Xenopus tropicalis: one gene and its partner. The protein of the gene in region 1 interacts with the protein of each later gene in a pairwise test. Links are inferred from orthologs where the notes say so. Each region holds a gene or a part of one and is shown on either strand. Other genes may lie near its edges.

Evidence for each region.
Region 2: the proteins of mad1l1 (region 1) and rnf8 interact in binary tests that used the Homo sapiens proteins (3 or more experiments, as listed by UniProt). The two-hybrid records come from large-scale screens. The link is inferred for Xenopus tropicalis from reciprocal best matches to the Homo sapiens genes MAD1L1 and RNF8.

What each region holds. Positions count from the first base shown.
Region 1 is NC_030685.2:31,029,727-31,033,542, forward strand, and holds part of mad1l1 (mitotic spindle assembly checkpoint protein MAD1), read right to left. Parts: intron 3,341-3,816; coding exon 3,161-3,340; intron 2,444-3,160; coding exon 2,319-2,443; intron 1-2,318. UniProt on the Homo sapiens protein: Component of the spindle-assembly checkpoint that prevents the onset of anaphase until all chromosomes are properly aligned at the metaphase plate.
Region 2 is NC_030681.2:2,805,468-2,808,805, reverse strand, and holds part of rnf8 (E3 ubiquitin-protein ligase RNF8), read right to left. Parts: coding exon of another isoform or gene 3,243-3,338; coding exon 3,194-3,242; intron 1,836-3,193; coding exon 1,770-1,835; intron 1,685-1,769; coding exon 1,595-1,684; intron 715-1,594; coding exon 607-714; intron 432-606; coding exon 227-431; coding exon of another isoform or gene 220-226; intron 1-219. UniProt on the Homo sapiens protein: E3 ubiquitin-protein ligase that plays a key role in DNA damage signaling via 2 distinct roles: by mediating the 'Lys-63'-linked ubiquitination of histones H2A and H2AX and promoting the recruitment of DNA repair proteins at double-strand breaks (DSBs) sites, and by catalyzing 'Lys-48'-linked ubiquitination to remove target proteins from DNA damage sites.

The DNA of each region.
Region 1 (3,816 bases):
AAAGTTTCCCATTTTGCTAGAAAAGTGCAGCTCAGGCTATACAGGTATAGGACCTGTTATCCAGAATGCTCGGGACCTGGGGCTTTCCAGATAAGGGATCTTTCTGTAATTTGGATCTCCATACCTTATGTCTACTAAAAAATCATTTAAACATTATTTAAACCCAATAGGACTGTTCTGCCTCCAATAAGGGGTAATTGTATCTCAGTTGGGATCAAGTAGAGTTACTGTTTTATTATTACAGAGAAAAAGGAAATTTTAAATTTAAAAAAGTAAAGTAGAATTATATTCTTATAATGGAGTCTATGGGAGATGGTCTTTCCATAATACGGAACTTTCTGGATAACGGGTTTCCAGATAAGGGATCCCATACCTGTACTACATCAGATATATCAAATTGACAAAAAAAACATCTTGATGGCCATACGCTGAAAAGGTTGCCAGTGGATTTTTCCCCAATATGCGTGGGCAATATCAGATTTATCGGTTTTGCCCTTGGATGAAGGCTGTCGGGGCAAAGATTACCATCAAACCAATACACTCCTTCTGCCCATAGGATTTTGAAACCTGCTTGATCAACATCTGGCCGATTTTCTGCCAGATATCAGTCGGGTGGGCCAGTCGGAGAGCTCCATACATGCGTTGATTAGCTGTTGACACTGCCTGTCGGCAGCTTTTATCAGCCCCTGTATGGCCACCTTAATTTCCAAAAAACATCCTTTTCTTAGGCACACAGTAAGTGAACCAACATGGGCCTGTTAGCAGTACCACCTAGAGGACTTGCTGGCCCACATGCTCTGAGCATACTAGACTGTATAAAGATTCCACACGATAAAATGGTATTTTGCAGATTGGGCCACAAACAGGTGACAAATTTTATTATAATGATACTACCCTAAATGCCATTGCTTATGGTTAACTCTGAGGCTAAGATTAGAAATTAACTGTGGGACGATCTTTGTTTTGCAAATTTGCAATTTGAATTAAGTTTTACAATTAGCAAGATGTGACTACTCTTGCACTTGTAGCATGGTCCAAAAGTGAAACAACTAATTAGAAAGCCACATATAAAATTGCACCCATTTCCTGTCTACTCAAGCCATAAATCTTTAAAAAGTCTAGGAGAATATATACAACCCACTTGATTTAATCATGCAAAGTGAAAATAATCACCCTTGTGTAGAACCATTTTAATCCACTTAAACAGAAAACCAGAGATGATTTATTGCCAAGGCACTTGTGAATGCAGTTAACACTGAACTGCAGAGGAAAGAGGCAATAAAGTCCAATGCCTACATGCCCTCAGGCTCTTCGCTGTTTATTGATAAGGGGTGATGCAAATTAAAGTAATGCATTTCTACGTTGAGATAGAGTTCTACACACTCCAGTGATAGATCAGTTGCGGCTATAACTTACATACCTTCTTTACAAGCAAGGGTTATCTTCCATTTACTGTAACAAAGCCATAAGTCATTGCTCCCGTTTAGTATTATACGTATGCCTGCGTGGGAGTTGGCATATTGCTTTACCTACGTATAGGTAAATACAACAACCATCATCTTGAAATCACCACCTAGTGGTTATGTGAAGCCTAAATCTGAATTCAGGAAGGCTGAAAGCTTGACACAATCTCTGTGTATAAACTCAGAGCTGTCACCGCCCCCCCCCCCATTCTTCATTTCCCAGGGTGCCACAGCCATGTGACTTATGCTCTGATAGACTTCAGTCACACTTTAGTGCAGTTGATTCTCTCACATAATCAATATTGCGATGATTTGACCAGTGAAGCTTGAGGTTCCTAAATACAATTTAACAAGATACACAGTCCTTACTAGGAATAAGTATTAGAATCTATGTCAATCTATGTCATTTCAGGAATGTAATATGCTTTTTTTCACATTGCAGCCTTTCTATTGTACAAATTGATAGATATGTTCTTTATACTCGATACTAACACAGTGATGACACATGTATTCTCTCTCCCTAATAACATAAAGCATTCATATCCATCTAATGGGCCAGTGAAGTAAATACTAGCATACACATAGGGGCATGGCCCCTATTGTCCAGAATACTTGGAACCTGCCTTTTTTTTTTTTTTTTTTTTTTTAAATATAAAGAGACCTTCTGTAATGCAGAGCTACATGCCCTTAAGGCTACTAACAAACATTTAAAAGTTAAAGCGTCCAATAGTATTGTAAGTTACTGATAAAAAGCATATCTTGCTAACTGCTTTTCAGAGTACAGAAGCATCAGGTTTAGGCAATGCAGAGTGCCAAATCCTCAGCCCTAAGGAAAGAGATGGTTCCTACACTTACTTGCGATGGATTTCCAGCTGCTCTGTCATCTCCTGCTTCTCAGTCTCCTGGGTCTTTATTTGCATTTCTTGGTTCATTATCTTCCACTGAAGCTCAGTTGCTTTTCCTTTTAACACACTGATGTTCTGGGATAAATGAGAGGATAGAAAGGAAAGTGAAGCCAAAAAAACAATGTGCCTGGAGTTATGCATTCTACATTAGAGATAATAAATACTAGGCTTAAGCTACAACTCCCAGCATCTTCAGCTAGGCAATAAATAACTGGAGGTTGTTAAAGGGGTTGTTCAGTTTTAAATTCACTTTTAGCATGTGATGCTGAGTGTGATTCCTGCAGAGAGTTGCAGTTGGTATTAGTGGCAATTCTCCAGTTTGGAATTTCTGCAGCTATCTGGTTGCTAGGGTCCAAATTACACAAAAAGGGGGTGGTGGGAGCATTCCAAGTAAAATATACAAGTACATGGAAGTGCAACTAATCTAACCAAATTAACTACAATCATACTAAAGAGAGAGGGTATCGATCAATGCACATTCCCTAGTCTAAACTGCCATTGCAGCCAGACAGTGGTTTGAATAAGAGACTGGAATATGAATAGGATAGGGCCTGAATAGAAAGATAAGTCATAAAAAGTAGCAATAAATGTGTGGCCTCCTTAAAGGACCACCCTATGTTCTCCCCCCCCTCCAAATCATGACCAGGTTACAGATATAGGAAAACGTTGCTGTTTCAGTGATACATAGGTTCAAGTGCATCTAGGGAAGTAAATAAGTGTTTAGCTCCAAATCTCACATCTTCATGGAAGATTTAGGATTGGGTGAATTCGGTGCAACTCTAGACTTAATACCTCATTTAATTCAGACAGTTTGTCCTCTTTCTCCAGCAGCTTCTTGCTTTGAGCCTCTATGGTTTTCTTGTAGGATTTGATCATTTCATTCTGCTCTTGAAGTTTGTTCTGAAAATCATTCTCCCTTTCCTCTAGAGCCTTGATGCGGGTGATGAGCTCCTGGTTCCTGTCTGCTTCCCGCTTTGAAATGAAAAAATAAATAAATAAACCAACTCTTAACAAAAAATATAGGGTTTCTTTGTTTTTGGTTAATGGCCATCAGTTAAAAAATGACAAGCATAGAGGCATTGCAGTGAAACTGCAGTGTGTATAATATATAGCCTATACCCTTGTAAAAGAACTTATTTTGCTAACTGTACAAACCTTCCTTTTCTTTCCTGCAAACTGTCACAATAAAGTTCCCTTGTCCCATTAGTTACAAAGGACTGAAGACACATTATACCAGGGACCCACAACCTTTTTACTTGTGAGCCACACTCAGATGTGTTGGGGAGCCACACAAGCATGAAAATCCTTCTTTGGGGGTGCAAAATAAGGGCTGTGATTGGCTATTTTGTAGCCCCATGTGGACTGCTAGTCTGCAGGAGGCTCTGCTTGGAGTAAAACTTTCTGTGCTTACAAAACTTGCCGCCAAGACAGAAATTTAAAAATGGGCA
Region 2 (3,338 bases), on another chromosome or scaffold:
ACAGGTAACTGAACCCAGAGGTGACTGCTAATATCCTTATATTTTACAACAGGGGGTACTGTATTTATTAGTGAGTCATGTGACAGAAATGACATCACTAAGCTCCGATTATAACTGATGACATCACTAAGCAGTGTTTATAAGGATATAATTTCCAGTTTGGTCCCATAGGGAGATAATAAGGATAATAATGAGACGCTTCCCTACGGGGTCACCCACCTCTCACCTTTGCGCTCCAATATCAGGGCGGCCCGCCGGTTCTTCATCTCGGGGCTCAGCTTGGCCACCATACTGTCGATGCAGTTGTCCAGCACGAGGGAGCGCGTCTCCGACAGGATCTCCTGGCGACAGATAGGACACTCCTCCTTGCGCTTCCGCCATGACTTGATGCAGTAGGAGCAGAAGCTGTGGGCGCAGTTCAACGTCACCGCCTGGGGGGGCAGATGTGAGAGCCCCATTATAGCAGCTGACTCAGGGGCAGCACTCACACTCACACACAGAGTGAATACCGACTCTGGGATACAGTGCCTGAGAGTGAGTGGGCCCCTGTAGGTAACCGACGTATCAGTATACGGGGCCCCAGGGGGCGGGGCTACAAGCTCTTACCTCAATAAAATGCTCCGAGCAGATGATGCACTGAAGCTCATTATCCAGAACGTCGTTCATATGGTTCAGTACCTCCTCCTTCTGGGCCCGAACCTTCTCCTTCTCCTCCTGCAACAAACCCAACAGAACCATCAGAACCTCCAGCCCAACGGCAGCTCCCTAGTAACGCTAAGTACCTTACTCATATTGCTGTCAGCCCCCCAGATCCACTCAGCGCCCCCCAGATCCACTCAGCCCCTCACTCACACTCCAGGGAGTAACTGCCCTATACACTCAGCCCCTCACTCACACTCCAGGGAGCGACTGCCCTATACACTCAGCCCCTCACTCACACTCCAGGGAGCGACTGCCCTATACACTCAGCCCCTCACTCACACTCCAGGGAGCGACTGCCCTATACACTCAGCCCCTCACTCACACTCCAGGGAGCGACTGCCCTATACACTCAGCCCCTCACTCACACTCCAGGGAGCGACTGCCCTATACACTCAGCCCCTCACTCACACTCCAGGGAGCGACTGCCCTATACACTCAGCCCCTCACTCACACTCCAGGGAGCGACTGCCCTATACACTCAGCCCCTCACTCACACTCCAGGGAGCGACTGCCCTATACACTCAGCCCCTCACTCACACTCCAGGAAGCGACTGCCCTATACACTCAGCCCCTCACTCACACTCCAGGGAGCGACTGCCCTATACACTCAGCCCCTCACTCACACTCCAGGGAGCGACTGCCCTATACACTCAGCCCCTCACTCACACTCCAGGGAGCGACTGCCCTATACACTCAGCCCCTCACTCACACTCCAGGGAGCAACTGCCCTATACACTCAGCCCCTCACTCACACTCCAGGGAGCGACTGCCCTATACACTCAGCTCCTCACTCACACTCCAGGGAGCGACTGCCCTATACACTCAGCCCCTCACTCACACTCCAGGGAGCGACTGCCCTATACACTCAGCCCCTCACTCACACTCATGGTACCTTGGTTTCCTGCAGTTCTTTATTCTTCGCCTGAATAATCTGCTCGAAGTCATTCTTGTTGCGGTTCAGTTCCTGCATCAGTTGCGTGTGCTACAGGGAGACGGAGGGTGTCACTCACTGCCCCCCAGTAACCCCGCCCCCGCCCATAATGGCACAGTCACCCCCCTGCCAGTACCTCCTGCAGCGCCTGCGCCAACTGCTCCTTCAAATGCTCCTCCTCCTCCGCGCGCTTCCGACCCCCCTGCAAGAGAAAACATGGCTGCTATTGGCCGCAGACACAGAACAGAGGTAGCCCCACCCAGAAGCTCCAATGGGAGGGGACAGATACAGAACAGAAGTAGCCCCACCCAGCAGCTCCAATGGGAGGAGACAGACACAGAACAGAGGTAGCCCCACCCAGCAGCTCCAATGGGAGGGGACAGATACAGAACAGAAGTAGCCCCACCCAGCAGCTCCAATGGGAGGGGACAGGCACAGAACAGAGGTAGCCCCACCCAGCAGCTCCAATGGGAGGAGACAGGCACAGAACAGAGGTAGCCCCTCCCAGCAGCTCCAATGGGAGGAGACAGACACAGAACAGAGGTAGCCCCTCCCAGCAGCTCCAATGGGAGGAGACAGACACAGAACAGAGGTAGCCCCACCCAGTAGCTCCAATGGGAGGGGACAGGCACAGAACAGAGGTAGCCCCTCCCAGCAGCTCCAATGGGAGGAGACAGACACAGAACAGAGGTAGCCCCACCCAGTAGCTCCAATGGGAGGAGACAGATACAGAACAGAGGTAGCCCCTCCCAGCAGCTCCAATGGGAGGAGACAGACACAGAACAGAGGTAGCCCCACCCAGTAGCTCCAATGGGAGGAGACAGACACAGAACAGAGGTAGCCCCTCCCAGCAGCTCCAATGGGAGGAGACAGACACAGAACAGAGGTAGCCCCTCCCAGCAGCTCCAATGGGAGGAGACAGACACAGAACAGAGGTAGCCCCACCCAGCAGCTCCAATGGGAGGGGACAGGCACAGAACAGAGGTAGCCCCTCCCAGCAGCTCCAATGGGAGGAGACAGACACAGAACAGAGGTAGCCCCTCCCAGCAGCTCCGATGGGAGGGGACAGGCACAGAACAGAGGTAGCCCCACCCAGCAGCTCCAATGGGAGGGGACAGGCACAGAACAGAGGTAGCCCCACCCAGCAGCTCCAATGGGAGGGGACAGGCACACAACAGAGGTAGCCCCACCCAGTAGCTCCAATGGGAGGGGACAGGCACACAACAGAGGTAGCCCCACCCAGTAGCTCCAATGGGAGGGGACAGGCACAGAACAGAGGTAGCCCCACCCAGTAGCTCCAATGGGAGGGGACAGGCACAGAACAGAGGTAGCCCCACCCAGTAGCTCCAATGGGAGGGGACAGGCACAGAACAGAGGTAGCCCCACCCAGTAGCTCCAATGGGAGGAGACAGGTTCAGAGATGGGGGTCAGTTTCCCTTTAAAGAGCGCCATATTGACTTGTACTGGGAGGGAGAGAATAAAAAAAGGGGGTGGGGACTCTCCGCCCAAGGGCCGGGTCAGGGGCCCCAGTGATGGCAGCCATTGAGGCCTTGGGCTCACCATGTTGTGCTGTTCCTGCTGGAATATCTGCTTGAGTTCCTTCACGCTCTGCAGATGCTGCTCCTGCTCATTGCTCAGTTGGTTGCGCAGCTCCTGCAGCTCCTTCTGCACCGCAAGGACACAGTTGGGGCCCCGCTGGCTCTCG